Pelodiscus sinensis: one gene and its partners. The protein of the gene in region 3 binds, or shares a complex with, the protein of the main gene of each other region. Links are inferred from orthologs where the notes say so. Each region holds a gene or a part of one and is shown on either strand. Other genes may lie near its edges.

Evidence for each region.
Region 1: the proteins of PIN1 (region 3) and SMAD2 are in contact, whole or in part, in an NMR structure (PDB 2LB3), measured with the Homo sapiens proteins. The link is inferred for Pelodiscus sinensis from reciprocal best matches to the Homo sapiens genes PIN1 and SMAD2. Residues at the interface, in NP_006212.1 of Homo sapiens: Glu12, Arg14, Met15, Ser16, Arg17, Ser18, Tyr23, Phe25, Trp34; in NP_001003652.1 of Homo sapiens: Pro218, Glu219, Thr220, Pro221, Pro222, Gly224.
Region 2: the proteins of PIN1 (region 3) and CPEB1 are in contact, whole or in part, in an NMR structure (PDB 2N1O), measured with the Homo sapiens proteins. The link is inferred for Pelodiscus sinensis from reciprocal best matches to the Homo sapiens genes PIN1 and CPEB1. Residues at the interface, in NP_006212.1 of Homo sapiens: Arg17, Tyr23, Ser32, Gln33, Trp34, Glu35; in NP_001352172.1 of Homo sapiens: Arg206, Ile207, Ser208, Pro209, Pro210, Leu211, Pro212, Phe213.

The regions. Positions count from the first base shown.
Region 1 is NC_134716.1:117,159,401-117,170,597, reverse strand, and holds the start of SMAD2 (mothers against decapentaplegic homolog 2), read right to left. Parts: upstream 5,096-11,197; 5' UTR 5,029-5,095; intron 1-5,028. UniProt on the Homo sapiens protein: Receptor-regulated SMAD (R-SMAD) that is an intracellular signal transducer and transcriptional modulator activated by TGF-beta (transforming growth factor) and activin type 1 receptor kinases.
Region 2 is NC_134724.1:36,953,021-36,963,221, forward strand, and holds the start of CPEB1 (cytoplasmic polyadenylation element-binding protein 1), read right to left. Parts: upstream 4,062-10,201; 5' UTR 3,948-4,061; coding exon 3,933-3,947; intron 3,753-3,932; exon of another isoform or gene 3,620-3,752; intron 1-3,619.
Region 3 is NC_134729.1:14,658,281-14,668,753, reverse strand, and holds the start of PIN1 (peptidyl-prolyl cis-trans isomerase NIMA-interacting 1), read right to left. Parts: upstream 4,685-10,473; 5' UTR 4,584-4,684; coding exon 4,526-4,583; intron 724-4,525; coding exon 523-723; intron 1-522. Other genes in the region: UBL5 (ubiquitin-like protein 5), read right to left, coding at 8,780-8,823, 9,861-9,898. UniProt on the Homo sapiens protein: Peptidyl-prolyl cis/trans isomerase (PPIase) that binds to and isomerizes specific phosphorylated Ser/Thr-Pro (pSer/Thr-Pro) motifs.

The DNA of each region.
Region 1 (11,197 bases), on a different chromosome or scaffold from region 3:
GTAGTCAACTACTCACTTACTGGGTAGGGATGCAAGTGGCTCTGCCTGAAAGTACCTAAGGAGTAGGCAGGCAGGTAGGCTGGCTCAGTCCCAGCTAGCCAGCCCACGAAAAAAAATTCTCTTGCAGAGCTGGGAGAGGGGAGAGAGAAGCATCTGGGAGGGGGAGTATACATGTAGGCAGGAGTATTATTCATTTAACTGGATACACTATTACATCCCTAATTCTTATACAATGGAGCATTAACTATACCTCCCAAAAACTTGTTTATTATTAGAAACATTGGACTTTTGTAACTCCTGTGAAAGTCTCAAAGCACATTCTGCATTTCCTGTTAAGAGATGGTCCAACTATACTTTTGGCTTAAGTGACTTGACCAAGGACCCAAAGCAAATACTCCTGTGCCAGATCTCCTGGCACATTGTGGGTTGCAGCTCTAATTGGTGCCTCAGGAAACTACTGTGGCAAGTCAATCTCAACCCTACTATATCTCTTCAAAGACATTCTTCATTAATATCTTGATCTTCCTGACATGCTGCAAACTTATGTAATACGTACATGCCTCTAAAGCCTTAAAAAGTGTCAAAGTTAAGCAAGGGCTGGGCAAAATACAGCCCAAGGGCTGGATCTGGGCCAAGGACCACCCTGCCAGGATCCTCTGGCATATAGCTGCTGCAGTTTGAAGTGCAGTCCCTATGTTTCTCTGCTCTGCAGGATGGGGGAAGCTTCCAGTGATTTCCTCACCCCCAGCCCAATCCTCAGCACCTATTAGCCAGAAACAGCCAGCCAATAAAAAACTGACATCAGCCACTCTCTGCTCCTATTGGCTGGAAACAGCCAGCCAATCGGAGATGAGAGATTGGCCTGGAGGCGCGGGGAGGGGGGCGCGTCTTGGGGGGGGGGGGAACAGGGGAAGAGAAGAGGGTGCAGCATAAGCCTCTTCTATCCAGGTAGCTCTCAACTCTGGATTGGGGAACAGCCTGTATTTTCAAGCTGCCTGAGGGTGCAACAGTCAGTGAGCCTGGCATGCCTTGGGGGTGCTGCAGGTTGGAAGATGCTTAGCTAAGTGCCTCCCAGCCAGAGCCTGCCCCTGGCAATCCCTGTCCCTCCCACACTTCAACACCCTCCCCCAGGTGACCATCCAAGCCCTGTGCACCAAGTCACAACTCCTTCCCAGATGCAGTAGCCCATCCTACACCCCTCCCCCAGGCCAGAATCCTCTCTTGCACCCAAGCACCCTACCAGACCCTGCACCAGGTCACAATCCCCTCCTTCACCCAAACAGCCTTTCAGACCCCACACTATCCACTGCACCCCTGTCCCTTACTCCCTGTGCCCTTCTGTACCCAGCCTCCATCCTATACGCCACACCCTCTCCACAGAAAAATGCAGTCCTTAACCATTTACCAAAGTCTTGGAGTGGTCCCCACCAAAAATTATTGCCCATCCCTGAGTTAAACTCTCCACTCTATGTGGGGTTCAAGACATCCCTGTCTTGTTACTGTTTCTTTGAAAATCAAGACAGCTTGTTTTCCTTATCACCCATTCTATGAGCCAAATTCTTGTAACACTTGATATCTTCATTCTAAATATATTAGAAACGCAAGCAGCTATTACAGATGTGAAAGCATAGTCATGCCTACATGCTCGAGTGTAACCAATGAAAAATTTCAGGAGTAATCAAGTGAACATGCAAGACACGTTCTAACATCTAGTTACAGGATACAGAGAAAGTAATGAAGTTTATGATTTATCTTATAAAAGAGAAAAAGTCCTCCCCACCAACACACACTACCCTAAACTTAAGTCTTCAGCCATTAGAGTGTTATGTTCCAGGTTAAGCTGAACCTGTTCAGATAGCAAGAAAAAAAATCCCTTAACTGCCAGCTGTTGTAGGACACAGTATAATCAGTGTTACTGTCAGTTATCAATAAACCATAGTAAAACATCAAAAAGGAATAAAACCTTAGCTTATGTAGGGTACTTTTTCCAGGGATGTGTCAAAGAAAGCAGCGCTTTTCAACTTTCAGAATTACTACCTATGCTTACTCAGTTTCTTCTAGCAAGGAGTACTGAACACAGGACTGTCTGTACTCTTGGTACTACTGAAAAAAAAAAACCCACCACCACACGCTAATCCCATCACATGACCTGCAGCAATTCTGTTTAACAAATTAACAGTTACAAATATTTTGGCAAAGTAAGCTTAGGTATTGTTTGCCTCTAAGCACAGTTGACAAGTCATTACATCCAATCAGAAAAGCAGAATTTACAACTCACTTAGCAACTCAGTCCTATAAATGGATGCTTTCAATTAGAGAATTTACATATACAGCCCATTAAGACAGTGTTAATACATCTGAAAACCTAAAATATTTGTACAATAACTCAAGTTTTATCCTGCACTGTTTTTAGAAAGAATTTGGAAATCTCTTCTCCCTCTGGTACAGCGCTCAAACTCATCACCCTTCAGACATGTTGCAAGGTTTGTTCAAGCCTTTCTTTTGATAAGAGATGAGAAAAGTTTACATCTCTCAAACTTTCAGCAATACTGAACATTTGTAAGCTCCAATTAAATTCAATGGTAACTACAGGTGCTCAGCACTTTGGAAAGATCGAGCTGACATAAGAGGATTGAAAAAGATCCAGCAGGGCCTTTACTTTGGAAATTCTCTTTGTATGAGCAAATTAAATCAACAAAGCGGGTGTTGGGGAGGTTGGAGTTAGAAAGAAAAGAAAGACGTCAATTTAGACAGAACTGAACTCTTACAAATGTAAGCTTTTCAATTACCCTATGACCTTATAAACTTTGCTAGAATTGATTATTCCTACTATAAATTTGACATACAACATCTTTAATTCTTGATAGAGAGGACAAGACAACTCAGTTTAAATTTCAGCACACCATTTTTGATCTGCACTTCCAAGTAGGGATGTAAAACAGCATTTAATCAGTTAAACATACCATTTAACTGGTTAATCACTTAAACGGGCTGCTCTGGACAGGCAGGAGCTGCTCTGGCCTTGCTGGGCCACTGGTTAACTGGTAACTGATAAGCATCGCCCAATAAGTGTGATGTCCACCAGTTAACCATTGACATCCGCAGCGGGTTACTCCCAGATCCTGGACTAGCAGCGACTAAGCAGGGTTGCCTGCCGAATTAAGTAGAAGCCAGCCAGGAAAAGGCAGCCCCGCTCAGTCCAGGCTCTCACTAGGACCAAACCCCACTGCAACTTTAAAAGGCAGTAAGAGCCAGGCAGCCTATCCCCTGACCCCACTGCATTTTTAAATTGCAGAGCCACTGGAGGTAACCTCATGATGAAGTTAACACCAAGATAGCAAGCTTCACAGTTTAAGATAAGCAGAGTAATGTCTCCAACTGATTTTTTTACCTCCCTTGATACTTAAAGGCAGATAATTTTGTGAAAGTAACATGTTAAGATACACTGAAAAGCTAAAGAGCTAAATACAACTTGAGAGGAGAAACAAAAATATGTGAAGGAAAGCCTACAAATCATTACAAACTGGAATCTTATTGGATGGAAAGTTTCTCATTTTTACTTTACACATGCAAAGCAAAAAAACGTGCATTTTGCTAAATTTGCTACTATAACCACCCCACAATTAACAGTCTGTCAATTTTAAACAGTTGGCAGTATAATCAAGCTGTCCTCACTGCAGCCTATTTTGTTAAGAAGGCAGAAGTTTAAGATTTTAAAGATACACTAAACAAATGCAAAAATCTAACTGGCTTATCTTACTGTAAGCTTTTTGATACAAAATATATCATCATTATTTGTATACTCAGGAACTGCTTACTATAATCTGAAATAAATTGCATGAGTGATATGTACATCTCAGCACTCACTGAGGGGAGTTTAAGAGTTTCCAGTCATCCACAGAACAGAAACAGAATTTGGCTGCAGTTAAAAGCAGCTCTTAACTGTTAAAAACTCTTTTCTAAAAGCTACAACCATGGTACTCTCCTGCTTCACAAGCCAACATGAACTGAAAACAAGGTATTCTACATTTGAAACTGGATCTCAAACAACCGTCCTACAGACTATGAACTAATGAATTCACTCAGCTGTTTTTCCTCACACATATGCTACACACAGCACTACAAGTGAAAGTTTTGCAAAATTGCTAAAACAATCGCTATTTGCAGTCATTACAGTGCATCAATTATAGCACCCACTGGGTATGATGCTTGCTTACATCCATACAGTTCAGTTACAGGAGAATGAAGAGGATGAGCAGTCACTGGCTGCCAACAGGTGAGGGAGGGTTAACCCCCTAGGAACACTCACTGAAGTTAAGGCTGAATCACTTTCCCTCCCCCTATTTTCAGCTCACAATTTTAGACAATACTGGCTCTCTCTCAGGCAGTAGTTTTCCACTTTTAATCTGTGTGAAGCTCTTCGGGAAAGTCTAAGATCGAGTTTTTCCAAAGGAGGGTGGGGTGGGCAGCGAAGTAGTAATACGCCCACCTCTAACCCCACACCATCGGTCCCCAGAGAGAAGCTGCCACGGGCCCACCCAGCCACCCCTCCTATTTATATCCTGAGAGCAGGGCCCGGCCTAGGACTGCCAACCCCACTGAAGCTATTCCAGGCGACCCCCCCCCCCGCACCCCCAAAAAGGGGATGTCACGCCACTGCCGTGGAACGCCCCATCACAGCCTCCAGGGTCGCTTTCCCCCCCGTCCCCGGGAGACTGGTGCTGATTCCGGGAGACTCCCGACCAAGCCGGGAGGGTGAGCAGCCCTGACCCGGCCGCTCACCCCCACTAGGGAAGAGGCGAGAGAGACTCGGGCCCAGCACCAACCCCCCACTCCCCGCCGGCCTGAGCCTCCGCCCCAAACCTCGCCCCCCCTCACGCGAGCCTCCCCCACAGCCACCGCCTCCCACAACAAAGGGGGGGGGGGCGCTGCCTAGGCCGGCGCGTATCCCTCCCCCCACACACAGGCAGCACCCGCCGGGACTGGCCACCCCGGCCCGGCCGATGCCAAAGCCGCCCAGAGACCAACCTCTTCGCCTAGCTACGCCGCTACCACCTCCTCCTCCTCTCCCTCTCGCTGGCTTCCTCTTTGCCGCCGCCCACTCCGCCCGCCATTGGTTAACGAAGGCGAGGCGGCGCACGCCGCAAGCCCCCCCCTGATTGGCTCTGCCTTGGGTCAGTTGTGAGGAGAGCGGGCGGCGAATGGCTAAACGAAGGCTACGTCCCGCCCAGCCAAGCGATTGGCGCGCCTGCCACCCAATCGGCGAGAAACGCCGTGGTGGAGTCCTCGCGACGGAGAGCGTGATCCGCGCGAGGGCCACGGCACTCGCTGATTGGCCGACACTTGTGTCGCTCCCCGCCGGGGGAGGTGGCGCAGGAAGGCGAGCGAATAAAAAAAAAAAAAAAAAAAAAAGGCAGGGGGGAGAGCGCCGATCCTTCCGCCAAGCGGCCGCTGAGTTCGCTTAAGAAAGTAGTCGCCTTCCGCGCGGCAGCGGATTCCAGCAGCGAGAAATAGTCCCGTCCTTCCCCGTCACTAGTCCAACCACCTCCCATCCCACACGCCTCCCCCTGCAGCATGACCCGGCCAAGGGTTAAATGAGGGACCATGCACGGGTTAAAAGCCTCCCCCAAGCACCCCCCCAGATTCAGTGCAGTGGGGGGGGGCTCTCATCTGCTTTACAATCTCCCCCCCCCCCCCCTCCACACACACCTGTGGTACCAGGGCCACAGCACCTCACAGACCTGTGGCAAGTGCCCATCCTCGTGGCCCCTGCCCTCGCTCCGGGAGCCCACCACGCTGGCAGCTACATGGCCCCTCCGCAGGCAGCCCTCCAGCGTCCCATCCAGCGCCCCGCGAGGTGGCGAGCGTGCAAATGCATCACCCACGGGCGGTCCCACAGGGACATACAAGCGCCCTGCAGGAGAGGGAATCAGGATTCAGCCAACTCCACTCAGCTAGGGACCACCTCGGAGCGCGGGCATTGCAATGCCCGATCCATCTCGTCTCTGCTGCTGCACGCAGCCAGATGCTGGAGGTGTAAATCTCCCACTCTTGGCAGAGTGCAATAATCTGCCCTCTTCCTCATCCTACTCTCCATTTAAGACTGGTACAGCCCCCACAACGTGAGGTTTAACATCCCTGTATTTGTCATTAAATATGATAATCTTGAAAAACGACTAACACGGTTAACCCTCTGAGTAGGATAATCGTGGCTATTCTTGGTATCCAGAAGGGAGTGCACCCCTTTCTGAATCTGGATTAAATTACATTAAATAATATAATGTATGTTGGACAAGATTTACATTAGGAAGCTACAGGTGAAAGGCTCTACAACTAATTAATAATGCCTGAATGTGTATGGTCTCTCCCCCCATAAACCCAAATGCAATGCCTTCATGAATGAACCTTTCTGTCTTGAAAGATAAATGTATTAATTTAAATTTTGACCTTTTGTAAGCTTGCATACACAGGGAGGGTCTGACGCTGGACAAACAGGCAAAGTCTCCCACAGACTGCTCTCAAAGTCTGGTACACCCTGCTCTTAAAGAGAGCTCTCATTAACCAACTACAAAAGCTAAATATTAAAGTCAAGGCCCGCTCCTGTATAGCATAAGCCACCAATACCAGCATGCCAATCAAACAACCAAAGTGAGATCATAGTACGATAATCCACAGTGACTACTACTATTCATTGAACCAGTGGAGGGAACCTAATTCTCCTACACTTATGGGAGTACCCTCACCATGAGGCTATAAAGTCAATTGCTCTGGCTACATCCTCAATATGTAATTGCTTGTACAAACTGGAACAGCTCAAACAGAAGAGACTGAAACAGACCCACCCCTGAATAGCTAATAGCCAGGAGATTAAGGCACCTGCACTCAGATCTTGGATATCTCAGGTAAATCCATAAATCAGAGATGTCAACCTTGGTTTTATGAGATGAGGGCCATAACCATTATGCTAGTGAATACTTTGGGTTCTCTGTCTAACGTATATTTTTATACATCAAAATTTCAGTTTTGTCCCAGTGCAGAATGGGAAAACTTGAAAGTTCAAAAATATATTTGGACAGGAAACAAATTTGCCCTAATGATGTGTTTGGCATTTAATCTCTAATCATGTGTTTGGCATTTAAATTCACACCTATAGATCCCCCACAGAGTCTGCTATTTCAGCTCTGGGAGGAACTGACTTGGGGGTGGAAGGAAAGCATGCTGTTACTGTTTCCATTCCTGGCACTGGGAGCAGATTGTGATCTAATGATTACAAACAGCATAGCTAAAATGTAGAAACATCCCTGTATGGGTCATATGTGAGGATGAACTTGGTATGTAGAGATATAAAGAGTCTCTACTATTTGAGGTAAAGAACCAGCTCTTTTACAAAGCAATGTCAGTGTCACAAACTTCTATACGTGATGCAACTGCTTGAATGTCATGCAGAGCCATACTAGAAGTTGTTCATCTGAGGAAGTGGGTTGTGCCCACGAAAGCGCATGATACCATCTATGGTTTATTAGTCTTTATGGTGCTACTAGGCTATTTGTTGTTTTTTAAGTTTTTCCAATTACAGACTAACTAGGCTATTCCTCTGAAGCTCTACACCAGGGCTACATCTAGACTGGCATGCTTTTCCTGAAATGCTTTTAACGGAAAAGTTTTTCGTTAAAAGCATTTTTAGAAAAGAGCGTCTGGATTGGCACGGACACTTTTCCACAAAAGCACTTTTTTGCAGAAAAGCGTCCGTGGCCAATCTAGATGAGCTTTTGCGCAAAAAAGCCCCGATCGCCATTTTCATGATTGGGGCTTTTTTGCACAAAACAAATCTCAGCTGTCTACACTGGCCCTTTTGTGCAAAAGTTTTGCGCAAAAGGGACTTTTGCCCGAACGGGAGTAGCATAGTATTTCCGCAGAAAACACTGATTTCTTACAGTAGGAAGTCAGTGCTTTTGCGGAAATTCAAGCGGCCAGTGTAGACAGCTGGCAAGTTTTTCCGGAAAAGCGGCTGATTTTTCGGAAAAACTGGCCAGTCTAGACACAGCCCAGGTGTGGGCAATAATTTTTGCCCAGGGGCCACTTCAAAAATTTTTGAAGTAGCCCCGGGCCCCCAGAAGGGGCAGAGCTTAAACAGGAAGGGCTGGGTCTACCCACCCCCAGACCAAAATTGGTCTGGGGGGTCAGGGAGCCCCTTTGCCCCCCCTTCCCACTATGCTCCCATGTCCTGGAAGAGGCTTGGCATGCTGCCCCACCCCGAGGCCAATCAGGGCCTGGGGGCAAGGGAGCGCAGGTAAGCCTCCTCTCACCCTGCAAGGTGCCGTGGGCTCCTGTTAGGGCCAGGGCAGGGGAAAGGAAGCTTCACACGGTTCCCCAGGCCCTGATTGGCCTGGGGGCCAGGGAGCGCAAGAAGCCTCCTCCCTCCACCGCGAGCAGCGTGCAGCGCTTCAAAGCACCACATGCTGCTGGCAGGGTGGGAGGAGGCTTCATGCACCCCCTCTCCCCCCGCACCCAAGCCAATTAAGGCCTGGGGGCGGAGGGGGGGGAGCACACAAAGGCTTCTCTGCTCTGCTTCTGCCCTGCGAGCAGCGTGCAGCGCTTTGAATCGCCATGTGCTGCTTGCAGGGCAGGGACAGAGCAGAGAAGGCTTCAGGTGCTCCCCCACCCCAAGACCCTAATTCACCTGGGGGCGAGGGAGCAGCAGGGCCTCCGCAGACCGGATCCAGCCTGTGGAGGCCCTTTTGCCCACCCCTGCTTTAGACGCAGTTAATTTGGCATGTTCCTTCTCAAAGACTAAGGGCAGGTCTTCACCAAGGTGACGTGATTGTATGGATTCACAAAAGGATTCTTCCACTGACCTAGTTACATCTACACTTGCATTGGGTCAGCTTAACTATAGCAACTGGTGGTGTGAATTTTCCAAATCCCTGAGTGACACAGGTAGTTTGCTCTAAATGTTAAAGGTATATCTACCAGATGGAAACTGTATTAGCATCGCTATAATGCCATAACAATGGCAGTGGTACAAGATGCAGTTCTGCCTGAAGCAGGGAAGAAATGTTAGGTCTTCTGGCACTGTGGAGAGAAGAACAATAGAAATATAGACTTGTGCAAATAGATTGCACAAGGGGTGCTGGCAAAGGGGAATAACAGGGTTCATCAGCAGTGCTGCATGAAAGCAAAAGAACTTTGCATGGCATACCACAAGGTGAAGGAGAGCAAGTTTGTTGCTACCAGCACACCTGCTGTTTTTACAATGAGCTGCATGCCATACTTGGCAGTGATCCTGTGATGAGGTGTAGTCACAGATAACCCCTCAGGGGTGCCTTCTGGGGTGCTGACACAGCCACTGCCACTCGCCTTCCTGCTCTCTGGGGCTCCTCACCACCAGGTCCTGCTGGGCCAGCTCCGCTGGACTCCCCCAGCCAAGGCCCCGAGCTGAGGTCCCTGCCCCACCGAGAAGCAGTACAGACACTGAACCACTTCAGGTCCAAGGAGAATCCAGGTTAGGGCCCAGCCACCTGGGATATCACTCCCCAGACGGGATCAAACCCCAAAGAATTAGGTCAGCCCCCTTTAGCAATGAAAGGGGGAATGCACACACTGGTTGACCCCCTCCCCCCCGGTAACAATCGCTTATACTGGGTTTGAGAGAAAATAAAAATGGTTTTATTAAGTTGAAGCAGTAGGATTTAAGTAGTAATAAGTGAAAGTAGGCAGAGCAAAGTAGGTTACAAATCAAAAGAAACAAAACCGCTTGGCTAATTCTCCACTGAAACCTCAGTGCAAACTTAAACTCACCCTAAAACCTCTTTTCCAGCTGCCACTCTAAACCAGGGCTCTCTTCCCCACCCTGGGGTCTCCGGCTCCTTCCTCCAGGTGCAGCTCAGCAAAAAAGACCAAGGCCTCTCCTTTCCTATTCTTTTTGTTAAAGGATTGAGGCCCCTCCCTACCAACCACTGCTCAGGCTGAAGGACAAAAGAGATAGTTTAACAGTTAAGGGTAACCCCTTCCATGTCTCTCATTCATACATTTGAAACTCACCAATTATTCCCCACTCCCTGTGTCTAATTTTACACACACAAATGATACATACAACAGAGTAAGATAAAGAGAACCAGTGGATCGTGACATAAAGATTGATGGGTTACACAAAATGATTTGCTCAAAACACTTTTGAGATATGTATATTCCTGTCCATGAGTCCAGTTCATAAAGCATGGGAGTGGGGGAGTCCATCACAGACCCCTCTAGCATCTTCAGACAACTTCAGACATAGGCAACATTCTCTTCAGACACAGGCCATGGTGGGCTGAGCCTCCCTGAACAACAAAGTGTGGCCTCACCTACACTCTATCCTCTCCTGCTTCCTGTTTTCCCCTAGTCTGATAGAGGGACCAGGCCACTCTTTTTCCTGAGGTGCCAAAGCCATCGTATGTGTGTTTGCACTTTGATTTTGTGCACTAATTTTTCCTCTCAATGAACTTATCTTTTGAGAAATTTCATAGCCTCTGAAAAACTCCCAGTCATATTTATAAGTGTACTGCAAGCACCACAGAATTCATAGTGGCAGACAAAGCTCTGGGCCCGGCAGTGTTTATAACTTCCAGCAGGCACAACAGAATAGATACTCATGGCAAAAAAATCAAATAGTACATAATTTACGGAACACATGACAGATAATACCTCATGGCAGAACATGACTGTAGTTGACTGTAAACCAGAGGTGGGCAATAATTTTTGATTGGGGGCCACTCCAAAATTTTGGAAAGTGGTTGAAGGCCACACTCTTTGATTATATTAATGAAAGTGCGGAGTCTGGGATGGAGGTTGGGTGCAGAGAGGAGCTTGGGATAAGGGATTGGGGTACAGGAGGGAGAGTGCGGTCTGGGAGGGAGTTTGGGTGAAGGAGGTAGTTGTGACCTGGGGCACTGGACTAGCCAATACTCATTAGATGATTTAAAGTAACTTTAATTCAGAGAAGTGGCTGAGTGGACAAATAAGGGGCTGACCACTGAGAGCTTGCGTATATGGATAAAAGAGGAGGGCAGAGGGTTTCGGTATGTGGAGTAGGGGGGCAAGAGTTGGGGGCAGAGGGTTGGAAAAGGGAGAGGCTGGGGTGCCAGAGACAGGCTCTGGCACGAGACTTACCTTGGTGACTCCTGGCCATCACATTTATCAGGCAGGAAGGAAGCCTGCC
Region 2 (10,201 bases), on a different chromosome or scaffold from region 3:
AGAGAAAAGGGACTGCAATAAAAAGTGGCTGAAGAGCAGGATAGTGGAAGGAACTTCCCTACTAGTTAAGCAGGATAGTAAATACTAACCAAGTTCAATTATTCCATGAAGACCAGACTCCACCCTTGATCTCTATGAACAATTCCCATACCTGTTATGGGATTGAGCAGGCTTGAAATTCTACATTCACACCCAAGCACAAACTTGCTCTTTCATTTGACACCCATTTTCAGTTGCTCTAACCAAGTGCTCAATGCCATTTCCTAGGACAGCAGAGATAGGCCAGAAGAGACTTCTGTCAGCATCAGGATGCACTTATTGCACAGTTCAATCTTGTCTGTTAGCCAAGAAGCCACGGTAGACAGCTAGCAAGATGCTGAACCCCTCTGACCATTACTGATTGGGGGAGACTAGAACTGCCTATCCACAGCAGCTCTGGAAGACCGCCTCTAAGCCAGGTTCAATCCAACCTCACAGCTAGTTGGGCATAACAAATCTGCATGTTTTGTTTGATGGAAACTTACAATAATTGGCATTTAACATTCCTCAGGATTTTTGAGACCTAGGATTTCCTTGATACAGGTATCTAAGATACCTAAGGAAGAACCCTTAGACTACAGGCCACTTTGAAAGGAAGTGCAAGGAGGTGCTAGGTGGCTTCAAAGAGAGCCAGATGCAAGGAAACAGGTTTGGTAAGTTGTGATGAGGAGCAGAACAGATCAGGAAAAGGAAACAAATTTGTCCAATGTTACTAATTTAAGAGAAATCTAGGAAGAAGCTGAAGTTGAAAGCAGCCACAGGAGAGATCATGGCCAGGATACCTCAGGGCAGTGTCTTGACCTTTCCAAATTATTGGTCCCCTTTCAGGAGTCTGATTTGTCTTGTATACCCCAAGTCTCACCTCACGTAAGAGCTGCTTACTTTTAAAAGCGAGACAAAAATATCACAGCATACAAATCAATATAAACAAGTCACTGGCTGTATGAAATTCAAGTTTGCACTTACCTTGCCCATGCTTTTTATGTAGCCTGAGGTAAAATGAGGCATATAGCTAAACATTTAATAGAATCATAGGACTGGAAGGGACCTCGAGAGGTCATCGAATCTAGCCCCCCGCCCTCAAGGCAGGACCAAGCTCTGTCTACACCATCCCTGACAGATGTCTATCTAACCTGTTCTTAAATATCTCCAGAGAGGGAGATTCCACCACCTCCCTTGGCAATTTATTCCAATATTTGACCACCCTGACAGTTAGGAATTTTTTCCTAATGTCCAATTTAAACCTCCCTTGCTGCACTTTAAGCCCATTACTCCTTGTCCTGTCCTCAGAAACCAAGAGGAACAAATTTTCTCCTTCCTCCTTGTGACACCCTTTTAGATATTTGAAAACCGCTATCATGTCCCCCCTTAATCTTCTTTTTTCCAAACTAAACAAGCCCAGTTCATGAAGCCTGGCTTCATAGGTCATGTTCTCTAGACCTTTAATCATTCTTGTCGCTCTTCTCTGTACCCTTTCCAATTTCTCCACATCTTTCTTGAAATGTGGCGCCCAGAACTGGACACAGTACTCCAGCTGAGGCCTAACTAGTGCAGAATAGAGCAGCAGAATGACTTCACGAGTTTTGCTTACAACACACCTGTTGATACAACCTAGAATCATATTTGCTTTTTTTGCAGCAGCACCACACTGTTGACTCATATTCAACTTGTGGTCCACTATGACCCCTAGATCCCTTTCCGCCATGCTCCTTCCTAAACTGTCGCTTCCCATCTTGTATGTATGGAACTGATTGTTCCTTCCTAAGTGGAGCACTTTGCATTTCTCTTTATTAAACTACCTCCTGAAAGATCTCTGCATACCCCCAGTTGAGAACCACTGGCTCAGGAAATGCCACGGTAGTAGCTATTTCACTGCAGCATAGATGCTTATTACAGCCTTAAAGTTCCCTCAGAGGCAGCAACTGGTTGATAGAAGAACACTTTTCAGCCCAGCAAGGTCTACACCAGGTCATCTTGACCACATCTCAAGGACGACAGTTTCAAAGACACCCCTGTGCAACACTGCTATATCGGCCTGATTTGGTAGGGTAGCCCCCAGCGGTGGTAGCAAAGAGGAAGTAGTTCTAAGAGCGGACACCCACTGGAACCAAGTCAAGTTGAGGCCTCTGAAGCTCCCCTCCAGCGCTTCCAGCCCTAACTACCCAGCAGACACGACAGCAGGACAGCTACAGCACTGTGCACCGTAGTGCTGGTACTTCCTACAGAAATGGAAGATATTCCTTCACAGCCAGGGGCTTGTTTGCGCCTAAAGCATTACAGCTGCGCCAGCCTAAACCCATCTATTGGCATAGGGCAGGCAATCCACCTCCCCAAGAGAGGGTAGCTAGTTGGGATGTAAAAAGACATTTATTTGTCCTAGTCTGAGAGTCTCTCCAGCTGCTGCAGCAGGCATCTGACCCATCCCATTATGGACTATCACTACTAACTCAGTGTTCTTCTCTAGGGAAAGATAACACCCTCTGCTATTGTTAAACGCTGCATTATGGCATTACAGCCACTTCAGACAAAACTCCCAGTGTCATCTAATGCCTTAAGTTATCCACCTTATCTAATACAAATAAGCAGTGCTATAATTAGAGTGCTATATTGCATCACCACAGACAACTAGGCAGCAATCAGGTAGCTGAAAAATGGCTGGCAAGTTCCTGTGTGCAGCATAGGTACAAGTGCTGGGGATCACGGACACCTGTGGTTCCTCTGCAGCACCATTCACCAAAGCAGAGGAGCGCCGACAAGTTAGGATTCAGTTCGCAGCAGTACAGCACACTGGCACATCACTGAAGCTGCTCCCTAGCTGTTGCTGGGCATGGCTAGATGTGATGGTTGCAAGCAAAGCATCAAAAAGCAAGTATAACAGCTGTAGAAACATCTGCACAGTTCTTCAGGCAGACTGCAACAATAGCCACCAGAGGTCTGAAGAGCCCCATTCATCACAACGAGGGGGTTAAACCAGACACGAAATGATAATTTAATTCTCAAGGTTGTTAGGCATTTCATGCCTCATCAGTAGCGTGGGGATCAGAAATGGGCAGTTTACTGAAGCAGCACCTAAGGAAGGTCACAAGTAGGGGACATTTTCATGCCACCTAGCCACTTCCCTACCCCACTGCCAGTTAAGCAGCCAATCACAACTCAGCCTTCAACTGCTTTTGGCCCACCTGCACAAACTCCGTGCTGGAGACAAGAGCCGGGAAGATGAGCAGCCTCTATCTGCCCCACACGCCATCGCTGGCACGGGCACAGGCGGGACACCGGGACCCTGCGCACCAGTGCAAGGCTGAGCTAGTGCCTCCCAGCCAGGAGCCAGGCAGCAAGACCCAGACGTGCAGGGGCCCAGGGCGGGGAGCTGCTGCCAGGCCCCCCCGCAACGCGGCTTTAGGGGCCCCGGGGCAGCTGCCCCAATGGCCATGCAGAGCGGCCTGGCGCGGGGGCCCAGCGGAAAGGGGGGGCTGTGCCAAGGGGGGGCCCGCCCACCCCGGGGCCAGGGCGGGACCGACACGCGCTGCCCCCCCCCCGCCTCAGGGCAGCAGCCCGGACGCTCGCCGGGGCCCCCCCTCACCTGGCGGCCGGGGCGCGGAGCCGGCGGCTCGGGAACGTGCGAAGCCGCGTGAGGGGCGGCCCGGCCGGCGGGCGCTGCGGGGACCCGCCTGAAAGGGGCCGAGCGTCCCGCGGCCCCGCCCGCCAGCACCTGCCGGCCGCGCGCGAGGGGGGGGTCGGAGGGAGGCGCGCGGCCGAGCGCGAGCCCCGCGCGGCGGGTCCGGCAGCGCCCCCCCCGTCACGAGGCGCCTCGCGCCCCGCCCCCGCCCGGGCCAGCACGCGGTCCCGCAGCGCCCGACACGTGCCGCCGGCCCCGCCCCGCCCGGCGCACTCACCAGGGGGAAGGCCATGGGGCCGGTGGGCGCAGCGGGTCGGGCTCGCACCAGCAGCAACGGGCGGCGCGGCGCCCCGCAGGCTTTTATAGCCGCCCGCCGCCCGGGGCCAGGGGGCGTCGCCAAAGGGCGGGGCCGGCCGCCCCGCCCACCCCGCCGCGCCCGCTGCGCCCTCCCGGCCCCGCGCTCTTTGCAGACGCTCCCTAAGGCTGTTAAAGGGCGCGCCGCGTGCTCGGGCTGCTGCGCGGCGCCTGGCCCGGCACGAGGGGCTGGTGCTCGCGCCCCCCCCCCCCCCCCCCCCCCCCCCCCCCCCCCAGGTGGGGAGTGGGGTCTAGTGGTTAGAGTAATGAGGCCTGGGTTCTGTGCTTGCTGCCTCCCCCTGCGGGAGGGGGGAGGGTCTAGTGGTTAGAGTGAGGGGGGAGCCTAGGTCTGTGCTTGGCCCCCCTGCAGGTGGGGAGTGGGGTCTAGTGGTTAGAGTAATGAGGCCTGGGTTCTGTGCTTGCTGCCTTCCCCTGCGGGAGGGGGGTGTAGTGGTTAGAGTGGGGGAGGCCAGCTCTGTGCTTGTCCCCCCTCCCCTGCAGGTGGGGAGTGGGGTCTAGTGGTTAGAGCTGGGCACGTGTCTCCAAGCATGACCTTCTCTGATCCAGTCCCCCTGGGGTTGGGCTATGGGAGCAGCCAGATGCATGGCTGAGCGAGGCACTGGCTGCTGGCAATGTGCATGCTGCCCTTAGAAATCCACACGTGGTTTTCAGGCCACGGGCCGTTTTGACAACAGCCCTCCAGCCTCATTGCAGGGAGCTGCTCTTCTCTTTAGCAGCACTGAGCGGACAGGGGCCAGAGGCCCCCAAGCCGGACTCAGCCCTCAGTGACTACAGGGCTGGTTTTTTCATGTGTGTCTGTAGCACTTTAGTGAGCTGCTGTTGTGCAATGGGAGAGCTTCAGTCCACAGAATCAGTCGCAACCGTGGGTGGCAGCAGTCGTCATGTGCAGGTAGCACTGCTACACCGGTGGAGTCAGTAAAACTGCTGCTCAGGGCTGGCAGGACAGGGGGGGTTTCACATGGCTGAGCGATGTAGGTGTTCCAACAGGGGGGTGTCCTGTAGACCTATTTTTAAGTTTCAGGGAAAATGACCTGTTCAGTGTTCAAAACCCAGCCTGTGTCTCTCTGCAAGCATTGACTTCTCTCTCTCTCCCCTCCCCCTGGCCTGACGCACAAAAGTAGCTGAACAAGCCCATTGGGGGTAATCGTGCATCAAATTACTCCGAGGATCTGGATCTCAGCTGGAATCGACATCACTGGAGCTAATGCTAATTCACAGCAGCTGAGAATCTGGCACAGCCTTCATAACTCTGCAGGAGGAGAGAGCCCAGGTTATAAGACCGTGCTCTGGTGTGTTTGTGCATTGGCTGTGTTAATTAACTGATTATTCTTGTCTGGTGTGATGGAAATATTTGTGTCTGTCTGGGCCAAATGGAGATGCCTGATACAAGCCATTCCGATTGTAAGGACAGTGGCTGCTTTAAAGTGTCCCCGGGCTGCTAACGCAGGTGGTAGCAATATCAAGAACAGCATAGGCAGGCATTCAATAGGCCCAGGTGCAGAGCTGTGGAACATGAGGCTGAAAAGGCCATTGGCACACTAGTCCTCCTAGTTTTGCTACAGCCGCTAGCCAATTTAGGAAAACATTCTTAGGATGAGCCAGACCTGTCTGTCAGGAGAATGGTACAGTCGGGCCAATTGAGGTGCCTTTCCAAGCTCTGCCCCTGAAATAAGCTCTGCCCCTGAGATGGTGCCCATGTAGTTTGTGCAGATGCTCAAATTACAGTTTTGCCTGCAGGCTCTCTGGTCTCCATGCACTCTGCTCTTCCTCACCGGGACCCCACACCCGTCTTGGGCAGATACCACGCATCCCACTGGGCTTCTTGCCCTTGATTTCCCCAGGGTGGCAGAGATGACATGCACAGGAGATTAAGCAGATCTTCATGTTATCAACCTTCCTCGCCTTTCTGCCATGCCTTTGCCATTGGTGAAGTAGTCAACAATGGTGACATTCGGTGTCTAGGGGGGGAGGGGTGCTAGCCCACAGGGACCCAAAGGCACTTCACAGCTCTGAGCTGGATTTGTCCCCTAGGCAGATTTCAAGGCATCAGTTTCACTTGGTTCAGGTTTTCAAGGTGCTCTCTGCACCCTGATCAGCTGGAGTGTGGGGTGGGGAGGAAGAGAGAAGGTAATGGAGACATAGATGCTGGAAAGCAAGAACTGAAGGCTTCATCAGAATGTATGCCACACTGGCACAGACTGGCTCAAAGGAGAAATCTGTGCCCAGCAAGGGCAATAAAAAGGGGATTTTAAAGTTCTCAGGAACAAAAGGGATTCCTAGCACAGATTACTGGCTGGAAAGGGGGAGTTATCAATAATAATGCAGCAAGGCAGAAGTGATCAATAATATTTCTACTCAGTATCAAATGGCAGAGGCCAGATTATGCTGACACTTTCCACTGGAGTAGTAACACAGGAGATGTTAAACCGCCGCTACCAAAACTGGACATTTTAAATCAGGTCATCTGGATAACAGGCAGCCAAGAGTTTTAAAAGAGCTGGCTCAGCAGCCGTGCCCTTATCATGGCTTTTGGAAGAAAGGGAATGTCGTGCCAATATTTAACAGGGTAAATGGGACACACTAGATAATATTGGCTGCTCATGGGGAAGATAATGAACCAGTTAATACATGACTCAAAGAATTAAAGGCGGATAATACGATTAATGCCAATAAACATGGCTTATGGACATAGAACTTGTCAAACTAACTTGATATTTTTTAGAGATGACAAATTTGAGAAGGGTGTCGTGTTGTGATGAGACTCCGGTAAGGCATTTGTCTGTGTACTGCACAACATTTTGATGATTAAAACTAGAAAATGATACAGCATGGACATGGCACACAGCCATGGATTAAAATGGGGCTAATGGCCAGGTGTCATAATGGAACTACACACAGGGAGTCGTCATGGAGCAAAGGAGTTTCTAGTGGGGATTGGTTCTTGGCCCTACACTATTTAATACTTTTGTTAATGACCTGGAAGAAAACATTAGGGCTATGTCTACACTGGCGGGTTGTTGCGCTGGAAGTATGAAAATGAGGCTAAGCGTGGAATATTGCTGAGCCTCATTTGCATACCTAATGAGCTGCCATTTTTGCAGAAGAGGCTCTTGCGCCAGAAGGAGCTGTCTACACTGCCCCTTCTTGCACAAGAAAAACCCTCTTGCGCAATGCCGTTATTCCTGAAAATAATCAATGTAGCGGCATTGCGCAAGAGGGTTTTTCTTGCACAAGAAGGGGCAGTGTAGACAGAGCCTTCTAGTGCAAGAGCCTCTTCTGCAAAAATAGTGGCGCATTAGGTATGCAAATGAGGCTTGGTGATATTCCACACAGCCTCATTTGCATATCTCTGGCACAAGATCGCGCCAGTGTAGCCATAGCCTAGGAGAAAGTCCAGAGAAAAGCAACAAGAATGATGAAAAGTAATAGAGATGTAGCCATGTTAGTCGGGTCTTGCTGAAACAAAAGACAGGACTCCCTCACCCCCCCTCTGTTCTAAAATCTGATTTGTCAATTTTATATGTGGTCACATTTTTTTATTGTATCTCTTTGGTATATATGGTTGTGCCAGTTTTCTTCCACAATTTGATCTGAGGAAGTGGGTCTGGCCCACGAAAGCTCATCATCTAATAAACCATCTTGTTAGTCTTTAAAGTGCTATATCGTCCTGTATTTTGTTTCAGCAAGAATGATGAAAGGTTTAGAGAACATGAGCTATGAAGGAAAGACTAAAGATTGAAAGAATCGGGCTTGTTTAGTTTGGAAAGGAGAAGACTGAGAGGAGACATGATAGTGGTTTTCAAGTATCTAAAAGGGTGTCTCAAGGAAGAGGGAGACAAATTGTTCTCCTTGGCCTCTGAGGACAGGACAAGAAGCAATGGGCTTAAACTGCAGCCAGGGAGGTTTAGACTGGACATTAGGAAAAACTTCCTACCTGTCAGGGTGGTCAAACACTGGAATAAATTGCCCAGGGGAAGTTCTGGAATCTCCATTGCTGGAGATATTTAAGAGCAGCTTAGACAGACACCTGTCAGGGGTGGTCTAGACAGTGCTGGGTCCTGCCATGAGGGCAGGGGACTGGACTCGATGACCTCTCAAGGTCCCTTCCAGTTCTAGTGTTCCGTGATTCTATGATTAAATCATCCCTAATACCATTTGCTGTCCGGGCCTGGTCGATAACACAGAGGGCAGAGAGCTGGATCACAAGGGTAGGCAAGCAAACAATGTGCATTTTAAGAGACACAATCATAAAGGTATCCATCTAGGAACAAAAATAAGTCGGCGCCCACGCTTACCAGCTGGGAGATTCTATTCTAGGAAGCAACGACTCTGAAAAAGATTTCCAGGTCAACATGAGCTGCCAGCCTAAAGGGTGATCCTTGGGGGCATACATGGGAAATTTGCATTGGGGCGGAGAGGTTATTTTACTTTTGGGTTTGGCCCTGGTGTGACAGGAGCTGGAATCCTGTGCCCACGATTCAAGGAGGCTGAATAATTGGAGAGGGTCCAAAGAAGAGCCATGAGAAAGATTAGGGGTTGGAAAAACCTGCTCTTCACCCACCACTCCAGCAGCGCAGCCTATTGAGCTTAACACAAGGGCAGTTATGGGGTGACTTGATCACAGTCTCTAAGTACCCAGGTGGGGAACAGCTGTTTACGAATGGGCTTGTTGGCCATGCAAAGGCCTAACAAGCTCCAAGGCTGGAAGTTGGAGCAGGACAGATGGAGGCTGGAAGTAAGCCTCAGGGGTGTGCATTGTTACCAGCGAGGGTCATTCCGCATTGGAACAATTTATCCCCGGTTAGATGGAGTCTCCGTCACGGGCAAATCGCACACGCGGCCTGGAGGTCTGTCTGTAAGATCTGCTGCAGTTCAAACAGGGAATATTCCAGGGCTGGTCTCTGGCCAGTGCTACCCAGGAGGTCAGTCGAAGAGCTCGCAGTGGCCCTTCTGACCTTGGAATCTCCACCTCGGAGCCCTCTCCCTAGTGATTACAAGGCCCAGCGAGTGCAGCCAAGCTGCAAAGGGACTTGCCTTGCTCCTGTGGGCAGGCACTAGGCTGCTGACTGTGATGGGGAGGGCAGGGGGGAGTGGAAAAGATGCGCTTGGTCCCAAAGCGGCCCTGGAGAGAATCCCCCCGTCTCCAAACCTAGGGCTGTTTACGTTTCCCATTTACGTTAACTCCCTTTGTGCATTTGCTAATGCTCCGAAGTAGGGGGGTGAACGCAGGCAGGGCCCATCGTCACAGTTGGCTTGGTCTGCAGCCGCTAGGCCTGGAATCGCCGGTTTCCCAGCTCGCAAACCGGAGCGGGTCCAGGGATTTCAAGGCGAAGCAGAGGGGGAGCAGGAAGGGCTGCTCCTTTCCCCGCACGGAAGGCTGCAGGGGAAACCCAGGGACCCAGCAGTCGCCTGGACGAGACTAGTTCTCCTACGGCGGGTTGCAGATGTGAATGTTTCTCTTCACGGTAGCCAGGAGCTGTCCGTGCCTCAGGCACCGCGGCCTGGGAGCCAGCCCAGCCTTCCCTGGCACTAGCCAGAGGCTCTTCGGGGGCACAGCCTGTCGGCTGCCATGTCAACAGCTCCTGGGAGGCACGAGCAGTGCGGGGAGAAGTCTCACCACGGGTCCCGCTAACGAGGCCACTCGAGCACGGGCCCAGCCGCCGGAGTCCCTGGGGGGAGGCAGCTCCCCAGAGCAGCAGCATGGAGTGGCTCCGGAAAGGCAGGGCACCATGAGCACGGCTGCCATCAAAACACAGGGACCATATGTCACCCTGCAAACCTCCCCCCGTCAGCACTGTGCTCGTGCAGGCCTCCTGGGGCTGCGAGCTGCTGCCGTCGCGTGCAGTCCAGGCGTGAGCGGAAACCCCTCAGCAGTGGCAGCGTTGGCTGCTACCTGCCCAGGGCCCTGCTGTGCAGCTGTCATCCGGCCACAGTGTCCCCCGGTGGCCAAAGCAACCCTGGCTCACGGGCCAGTGTGTGGGTAGGTGTGGGTCTAACGCGACCACAGCCATGCCTGCGGTCTGAGCGTCTCTGCGGCTGTGGTGCTGGGCGTTTCGTACAGTCACAGTCACTGTTACCGTGCAGCCCAGTGCTGGCACCTGCACCTCATAGCTCCCCCTGGATATTTTAATTGAACAGATGGGGAAACTGAGGCACAGAGTGAAGCATGGA
Region 3 (10,473 bases):
CGCACACTGGACAACTTACTGTGCTGGGAAATGTATGTTTTGTGAATCAGCTTAACAGGATCTTTGAACATGCCTGTGCAAATGTTCATGCATTTCTTAGGCACAGACTCATCACAATTTACTGTAACTGCAGTTGGGAAAATAGTCAAATGAAATCTTAAACATAGAAAAGGAAGATGTTAAAGGAACGTTTAGTTTTAGCTTCAAATAATTGTTTTATTTTTAATATAAAAATAATATACACATTTACAAAAAATACAAACACCTTTCTGACATGACATTACAAAAATGCAAAGAGGGGATGGGGAAGGGAGGGATCCTGTTCTTAAGTCATTTAATCAGAAAAATTGACTCCCCAGGTGGCTATGCTACACTGAAGTCCATGTTTGAGCACTTGGCTCAACAACTTTGCCTTAGAGATTTCATGCAACTAAAAAGTCATTTCTCTCTCAGGTGTTTGGTTTAGGCCTTAACATGACTTTCCCCTTTACTACTATCAACCTCTCTCTTGCTTTTACTTGCCATTTATAAGCTCCAGTGCCTCATCTTTGCTCCGCGTGATCTTTTCCTGCCTCCATGATGAGGGTCTTCTGGATTGGTTGTGCTTCACCAAGAGGTGTGAACAGCGCACTTTAGCCGGCTCTCCTTGGCCATTCCTCCCACCACCGCTGGGGCGCTCCCACTGGCTTGCATTTGTAATGTGGTTGAAGTAGTACACACGGCCTGCAAATAAAAGGGAGGAGAGGATTAAATGTTAGAAGTTCCTTTCAGACCCGTGATACTGGCTTCTAGCTCATCTCAACAGATATACAAGACTCTTGATTTCTGTGAGTGAAAAAATGTGGATGTCAGCTCAAAGCAGAATCACTGCAGGAACTGGAAACACTCAATATCCCATAATAAGAGGTTGCTGCGGCACTGCAGCTGTCAATCCCATCTGTTAAGATTCTCATCTTTAACAAACTTTCCTAATAAGAAATAAAGAGAAAGGTGATGGGAGCACAACAGCTCATCCATTCTAACCCAGCTCTGGCAAGTTACTTCAGACCTGATCCAGTTGTCACTGAAGACCATGTCAAAACTCACACTGATTTTAACAGAGGCAGGTCCCTAAACCTTCCCAGGAAAGCTGAACTGGGTGGTTCATATTTGTAAAGTACAAATTAGTCTGATGAAAGCAGAAAGCATGTCTGAGGCTTTCCAGCATCGCCTAACACCAATACACCTTCTGAAACAATACAGTACATTGACAGAGAGGAACACTGCCTCGATTATCCCTGCAGAGAAGGTGAACAGGGCTGGGCTTTCGGCAAAGAAGATGATTATGTTTCACTTTACAACAGCATATATGTGAAGGTAAAGCAGAAAAGATGAAAAGCCTAAATATTGGTGACTCACACCTTTCAAATGCATCATAATTAATGGATTTCAGGAAAGATATAGACAAACTGGAGAAAGTCCAGAGAAGAGCAATAAAAATAAAGATCTAAAACACATGACCTATGAGGAAAGATGGGAAAAAATTGAGTTTATCTGGGGACATAACAGTTTTCAAGTACATAAAAGATTATCACAACATGGAGTTAAAAAAATTCTCTCTTTTACTCTAAGGATAGGACAGAAAGCAATGGGCTTAAATTGCAGCAAGGACAGTTAAGGTTGGCCATTAGGCAAAACTTCCTTGACAGGGTGGTTTACATTACACAGAGACACTGTGAAATTTACCTCATTGGAAGTTCTAAAGAGCAGGTAATACAAACACCAGTCAGGGATGGTCAAGATCATACTTAGTCCTGCCAGGAGTCCAGGGGGCCAGACTAAATGAATTCTAAATGCCCCTTCCAGTCGTACAATTGTATGATCTTGTAATTAGAAAGTTGAGCAAGACGGCATGTCTTACTATAGTGTGGTGGGCACTGCACAAACAATGGAGCATTGATCCTGGATGTGTCTGTGGTTGCTGTTGCTAACAAAAAAACATACCTCGACCAAAAGCAGCCACTCTTTAAAATAAGCAGCAAAATTCCCCTGAAGCGTGCAATCACGAGGACGGGGGCCACACCACTGTGAAGCCAAGCCAACTAATACTGTAACCTAGAGATGCTTTCTGCTCCTTCCCTCCAAGCTGGCAGCAGCTCATTCCTGCACTTGCAGGAATTCTCACCAGACAGACAGAGTGACTCCCTCCCTCTCTCTAACCCCTTTTATCCCAAAGGATTTCAACCAGCAAACCAGCAAAATGCTCTGAAGAGAAGTGTTGACTCTCAGACATAGAGGATGGCAGAGAAGGCAACAGCCCAAGGACACAAGGATCAAACGTCCAATTATAACTACCTTGGAACAGTCAGTGTCCTGGCAAAACTACAAGGAATGAAGTGAAGACAGGTGCAATGATTTGCCTCTAACCCTGAACGTGTAGGGTACCAAGGCATTGAGCCAGACTTGACCTTACCCCATATCAGAACAGCCCCCCCCATCTGCACTGGGACCTGCATCCACTTCCTCTCCCCACACAGACACCTCCCGTGGGCTTCATTCCAGATTTACCCATCCACCATAAGGTGAACAAACATGGACCCTAGCCAGGAGGTCCTATATAACAGGGAAAGCTTATCCCCAAGCAAAGGACATGGTGAGAACCCCAGGCTGCCTCACTAAATTCCCTCCCACCCCATCATGAATAAAGCCACTTTCACTCTGCCTCTATTCAGGGAACCCTCCCCAATCCCCTTCTCAAGGGAACATCTGAGTCCCCAGAGCAACTCCATGGAACAGAACAACCTGCCCCAGACCAACCCATGGGGACCAAGTAAATACAGCCCAGTAGACACCCAGCTGGGGAAGTGGATCTCCAAGGCACACCCCTCCAAGCTATATTCACTGCAGGCCCAAACTCTCTGCCCTCCAGTGCCTGCAGCACCAGCTGCCCACAAGCCTGCCCCCCCACCCCAGACCCAGTGCCTTCAAGACCCCAGACCTCACCCCACCCCCATAGACATGACACCCAACCCCAAAGCCTTCAACTCCCAGCCCCACCCCTCAACCCGAGCCTTCAAACCGCCCCCCCCCCCCCCCGAGCCCTGCCCCGGAGTCCAGAGCCTTTAACCCCCCCAGCCCCGCCCCGAATCCCAGAGTCTTCAATCCCACAGGTTCCAGCGCCAACCCCAGAGCCCTGCCCCCAACCGCAGAGCCTTTAACCCCCCGGCCTCACCCCAAGCCCTAAAGCCTTCAACCTCCCAGGCACCGCCCCCAAATCCTTCAACCCCCAACCCCAGAGCCTTTAATTCCCCAGGCCCCGCCCCGAACCCCAGAGCCTTCAACCCCGCAGACCCCACCCCAACTCCCACCCCAGAGTCCTGCCCCCAACCCCAGAGCCTTCAACCCCCCCCCCGGGTCCACCCCCACAGCCTTCCCCAACCCCAGAGCCTTCAGCCCCCCAGCCCCGCCCCCAGATCCTTCAGGCCCCCCTCAGCCCCGCCCCCAGAGCCCTACCCCCATCCCCAGAGCCTTCAACCCCCCCCCTGGCCCCGCCCCCATAGCCCTGCCCCCAACCCCAGAGCCTTCAGCCCCCCCGGCCCCGCCCCCAGTGCCCTGCCCCCACCCCCAGAGCCTTCAGCCCCCCGGCCCCGCCCCCAGAGCCCTGCCCCCACCCCCAGAGCCTTCAGCGCCCCCAGCCCCGCCCCCAGTGCCCTGCCCCCACCCCCAGAGCCTTCAGCCCCCCGACCTCGCCCCCAGAGCCCTGCCCCCACCCCCAGAGCCTTCAACCCCCCCGCCCCCACCCCCAGTGCCCTGCCCCCATCCCCAGAGCCTTCAGCCCCCTCCGGCCCCGCCCCCAGAGCCCTGCCCCCACCCCCAGAGCCTTCAGCCCCCCCACCCCCACCCCCAGAGCCCTGCCCCCAACCCCAGAGCCTTCAGCCCCCCCGCCCCCGCCGCCCTGCCCCCGCCCCCAGAGCCTTCAGCCCCCCCAGCCCCACCCCCCGCCCCCGCCCCCGCCCCAACCCCAGAGCCTTCAGCCCCCCCGCCCCCGCCCCCAGTGCCCTGCCCCCGCCCCCAGAGCCTTCAGCCCCCCCAGCCCCGCCCCCACCCCCAGAGCCCTCAGCCCCCCCCAGCCCCGCCCCCAGAGCCCTGAGCCCCCCCCAGCCCCGCCCCCAGAGCCCTGCCCCCTCCCTCAGACCCTTCACCCCCCCCCGGCCCCGCCCCCAACCCCAGAGCCTTCAGCCCCCCCGGCCCCGCCCCCAGAGCCCTGCCCCCTCCCTCAGACCCTTCACCCCCCCCCGGCCCCGCCCCCAACCCCAGAGCCTTCAGCCCCCCCCGGCCCCGCCCCCAGAGCCCTGCCCCCCCCTCAGACCCTTCACCCCCCCGGCCCCGCCCCCAGAGCCCTGCCCCCCCTCAGACCCTTCAGCCCCCCGGCCCCGCCCCCAGAGCCCTGCCCCCCCTCAGACCCTTCACCCCCCCCGGCCGCGGCCCCCCCCACTCCCATAGCTGACCTGGCCTGCCCCCGCCCGCCCCTCACGCCCCCCCGTACCGGAGCTGCGGCTCATGCGCTTCTCCCAGCCCGAGGGCAGCTTCTCCTCCTCCGCCATCTTCCCTGCGCCGCGAGCCCGCCCGGCCGCGCCCCGCCTGCCTGGCGCCAGGGCGCCCCATTGGCGCGGGGAAGGCCGAGACCCCGCCCCCGCCGGCTGCCATTGGCTGAGAGAGAGAGAGGCGGTCCCGGCCCCGCCCTGGCCCCGGTCTCATTGGCGCAGAAGATCCGTGATTGGCTACGGGCGAAAGGCCGCAATGATCCCGGAAGTGAATCTGGAGGGAGGGGACGGAAGCCGAGGCGGGACAAGGGAGACCTGAGACCAGCATGTCCCGGCCCGCTGCCGTGGGGCCTCCCTGGCCGCGTGTCCGCCACACCCAGGAATGGGGGGGGGTTCTGGACATGCCCCCCCCCCCCGTCCCTGGCACGGGGCTCCTGGAGCAGCCCCCGGGCCCTGTGCAAGGGACTCGCTAGCCGCCGAACCACAGCAGGGAGGGGAAGCTGGCTGGCGAAGTGGGGCTGGGCATGAGAGTCGGCTGGGGGGTGCAGCCCTGCGGTGGGGCCCCAGAGATTGGGGGCGTAGGCCCCATGTGACAATTGTCTCAAGCAGCAGCCCTCACCCCGACCCAGCTCCTACATGGAGGTGCTGGCAGGCGGTTCTGCACTTTTCCTGCTCAGCAGGCATGGCCTCCACAGCTTCCGGTGGTCATATTCCCAGCAAACAGGAGCTGTAGGGGCAGTACTTGGGCCAGAGCGGCACATGGAGCCATCTAAGTAAAAGCCGAAGGGGGGATATGCTGCTGCTTGTGGGAGCCACAGCACACTTGCAGCAGGGCAAGCCCCTGACCCCTCTCTCTCTGCCGGAGCTCAAGGGCCAGCTGATGCCTACCCTTGCATCATCAGCTGCTGCTGCTCATTGTACAGAGCGTATTGCCCTTGTAAAATGTGTAGGGCTTTCCCCAACTTCCGTTGATGCTCACAAAATCCCTCTGTAATACCAATCCTAAGTATTCATGTGTCAAGCACCTGCAAAAGGAGATTTAATTTTTTTGAAGTTTTATGTTTTGCTGTTTTAGTCTTGCACTCTGCAAGCAGGAGGGCTAGACATATTTTTCCTTACTGACAATTGAGGGTCACAATCACAGAGCTCCAGCAGCTGGGGCTTTAAAGAAAATATTGTGAAATTAGTAATGAATCACAAGAGTTAGCAGCCCAGCACTTCTACATAGATTAATATCCAAGCTCCCTGAATTGTACAGCCTTCTTGGGGCAGTTTACAAATTATGGCACAACAATAATTCTTAAATCCTGGGTTCTATTAAGACTCTTCCACTGGCCATCTCTCTCTTCTGTGGTAACTGGTTCACAGGGATATTAGGAAAATTAATCTCTATCAAGACATTAGTTAAATCATTTTGGTCTCAAAACTTCATTGTAAATGGAGATCTTGCTGGTGCCCAGTTTGCAGTCAACCTCCTGAAACTCAGCAACATTCCGTCTATTTCACTAGGAACACTAACTACAAGTTCTTATAAGCAGCTTCCGCTAACGTATCATTTTAAAAACTGGTTAAACTGTTCTTATCATACCACCATCTACATGTTTTGTTAGTCTCTAAACTGCTGCAAAACTATTTGTTGTTTAAGTTTTTCCAGTTACAAACTAAATTGGCACCTAGCTATATCTTTCCCTGAAAAAATGTCTCTACAGGTTGTTAGCAGCACGAAAGGAGTCAGAGAAAGTGTAGGAATCCTTGATGAATGAGGAAGACAACTTAGTGATAGATGATGTAGAAAAAGCTGAAGTACTCAATGCTTTATTTTCCTTGGTCCTCACAGACAAGGTCAGCTCACAGACTGCTGCACTGAGCAGTACAGTAATGGGGAGGAAGGGGCAGCCTTCAGTAGTAAAAGAACAAGATAAGGACCATTTAAAACAAATCATATGCTCAGTCTATGGGGCAGTATCTAATGCATCTGAGGGAGTGGCCATTATCCCTGAAAACTTACGGCTACTGGGGGAAGTCCCAGATGACCAAAAAAGGCAAATGCAGTGCCCATCTTTTAAAGAGGCGGAGGAGAATCCAAGGAACTACAGACTGGTAAGCCTCAATTCAGTCCCTGGGAAAATCATGGTGCAGGTGCTCAAGGAATCCATTTTGAAAAACTTGGGAGAGGAAGGTGATCTGTAACAGTCAATCTGAATTCCTGTCAGACCAAGCCTGACTAATTGCCTTCTATGATGAGATAACTGGTTCTGCAGATATGAGGAAAGTGGTGGACTGATATACTTTGACATTAGCAATGCTTTTGATATGGCCTCATCTTGCCAGAAGGTTAAAAAAATACAGCTCGGATGAATGGACTATATTGTGGATAGAAATATGGCTAGATTGTTAGGCTCAACATCTAATTGGCAGCCAGTATCAAGCAGAGTGCCCCAAGGGATAGTCCTAAGGCCATTAATGATCTGGACGAGGGGATGGATTGCACCCTCAGCAAGTTCACGGATAACACTAAGATGGTGGGGAGAGGTAGATATGCTAGAAGGCAGGGAGACAGTCCAGAGTCGCCCAGACAAATTGGAGGATTGGGCCAAAAGAAATCTGATAAGAGTCAACAAGGACAAGTGTAGAGTCCCACACTCAAGATAGAAATTCCAATGCAATGATACCAGCTGGGGACAGATGGGCTAAGCAGCAATACTGCAGAAAAGGACCTGGGGACTGCAGTGGACAAGAAGCTTAGATGCATCAACAGCGCACTCTTGTTGCCAAGAAGGCAAATGGCATATTGGGTTCATTAGTAGGAACATTGCCAGCAGATCTAGGGAAGTGATCATTCCCCTTTATTCCGCATTGGTGAGGCCACATCAGAAGTTTTGCATCCAGGTGACTTTTTGCTCTCCCTATTATATGTGCAATTTCATATCACATTTAACTCTCAAATAATAGCTTGTTGTACAAACTAGAGATGAGATCTTGCAGTTTGATGTTAGAAGTGGTATCACATATTACTACTAGCAGGTAAATGTTTTCCCCAAAATACACTAGGAAGCATATTTCCAAATGTTAAACATAATTTCTAGTCCTAGTAAATGTCTTACGTTGAGGATAAAAAGCATCATGGGATACAGGTTACACATTTGGTGATTAGCTTGGCTTCTGTTTTTTGTTTTGTAAACTGCTGGGTGATCTGATTGCTCTTGTTTCATTTTGTCAGGGCTTCTAGAACAGAGAAGCAGGAAGGAACTTTATTGATGCACAAATAAAAAAGGCTCAAAGAGATGAATAACTAAAAGTTAGTAGAAAAGGCAAGATGTCACTACAGGCAAAATAGAAGAAAGTGAAGCACCAGGTGTCTGAGAAAGGATGTCACAAAAATGCAAGTCCATCCAGCAGATGGAGCAGCTACAAACAATGAGACAGGAATTCAAGAGATTAGTTCAGGTTGTGCAGGAAAACGTATCAGGTTCCTTATCCCAGTACAGGTTACAGGGTGGGTTTAGTGCAAAAGGAGCCTGGAAAAGGGTGACAAGGGAATAAATATAACAGCTTTGAGAGAAGTTGTATCAGACAGACTTTCCATGGAAACCGGAGACTGCATGGGTTAAGAATGAAGGTATTCGGAAGGCTATTACTGCTATTCCTATTACTTGTTGAAGCATTTTTTTTAATCAATTGCTCTTCTTTCACTCTTAGAAACAAGTGTGTGATGGGAGAGTTGGTCGTATTTTCCTGCCCAGATCATAGCTTAACCACAGTACTATGCAAAATTTCTTTTAAAAATTAAAAAAAAAATCTAACTTGAATATGACAGATACAAACCCGAAGCAAATGTGCTGCTTACTCTAACTAGAAGAGAGTCCCTCTGAGCAGATGGATGGAGAGTGCTACAGTATTATTCTGATTCCAGAAAGTTAAATGGGGTCTAAAGCCCACTGCTTTCCAACAGCTGCATTAATTTGGGCTGCTATGTCAGTTAAAGAAGAGATTTCTTCTGACAAATCCAGGAGCAGGATACAAAAGTTATCAGGAAACTTTTATTGCAAACATTTTTTAAAAATAAAACAGCCTTCTTACAAGTTTGCAGCCACTTTTATAGCCATCAAAACTGAAGATATCTGATAAAACTGAATGCACAACTTGAGCTTCTAATTTTTACCTTACATGAAATAAAGTTTATAGACAAGTTTTATAGCAGAAAAAAAATGTAGAAAAGTGATGCCTGCCATTTGTAACTGCAGCTAGACTCAAGACTACTGATAATATAACTCCAGGTTCATGCCATCATGGATTTCATCTGAAAGGAATGAGTTAAGGGGAATTCCACAGGAAATGCTCAAACGGTAGGTGACATTAGGTTTCTCCCTGGTCAATAATTCAAAATAAATTACAACAGCAAGTTTATTCTTTGATACATTAGACAAATTCTCACATAATTCTCCTTCCCACTTTGTGTGTTTCTATCGCAAATTGATAAAATAAATTGCTAGTGTCATGCAAGGGAACATGGGTCATATGCAATACTGGAAGCTTCAATACCATAACTCAGCAAATGAGTCCCATGTCACAGGCTACCCACTCAATTTAGTAAGGGACTTTTTCCCAGAGGTCCACCAGTTATCTTATGGTAGCCTACCAATACCATCAGTCACTAGTACCCAAAGAGACAAATGAGACCTTTGGTTTATAACAAGCAACTACGTCAGATTAGGAAGTGTCTCTGTTTAGCTATGTATTTATAATATGTCCATCGCTCCACTTCATAGGTTGTGGATCTTTTAAGTGACTAGAAGAACTACCCTGAATTGCTCAGGTCCTTTATTAATTTTTGGTATCTTTGGAAAACCAAGTTCTTCTGCCTCCTGTGCTTCCCAGGCAGCAAGAGAAAGTGCACAATGCTCCCTTACGAATTGGGGAAGATCTTCAGCCCCCCTCCCCTTACCAAAGGGTGCCTGGAAGATGGGAGGCTCAAGACTAGTAAAGTCCTTGACACAGGGTAGGGAGGGGCTGGGCCTGTGTACGCATGTACCTCCAGCCAGCCCCTTCACCAGGCAGGTGAATTCAGTCTCTCTTTTGTATGGTTTTATGAGAGACAATCCCATCCCTGGCACAACCCTATTTCCTGGCACAACCAAACCCTGACCTTGGTTTGAGCTATGATAAGAGGAAGCTATATACCAAACTGGTGCTCCTAGCTCTTGAACGGACAGACTGATTTATAACCAGACAAACTGAAACATATGGCAGATAAAGAACACAACCGTTATTTTAATTAGACAAAGGCTTTCCCCAAAAGCTGCAGTTTACACACACAAGTCTAATGTTCAAGGATACAGTCTCCCAGTGACACATGGTCTTTGAAGATTGTGTACCTGCACAAATGTGTCAAAAAGAAAGTTAGTCAAGAATAAAAGTGTAATACAAGAACAAAAGAAAGTATAGTCAATAGTAATGGAATAATTAGGATAGTATCCAGAGTCTTGCTGTTATCAGTTACAATAGAAAATCATAGAGGCAATGCTTTAACAGATGCCAATCACAGGTTCTGCGGGGAGAAGGATGACACTGCCAACGTGCAGTTACAATGTGACTTGTATAGTAATTTCACACATATTGAAGTTAGAACCACCATACTAGGTCAGACCAAAGATCCATCTAGCTCAGTATCTTGTCTTCTGACAATGAACAATGGCAGGTACTTCAGAGAGAATGAAGAGAACAGGTAACAATGAAGTGTTAGAGGAACAGTAAAAAATTATGTAAAAAGACAGAGAATCAAACAAAAATTCTGAATTGAATGTCACTGCTGGTGAGAGTATGAAGGAAAACTAACTAGCGTTTCTGGAATAATTTGTAGTTATGTACACTTTTATTTTATAAGGCTGCTGCCCTTCCTTTGAGAATTTAAGTGAAAGATTTATCAGTGGAGCTCCCAAGAACACTGAAC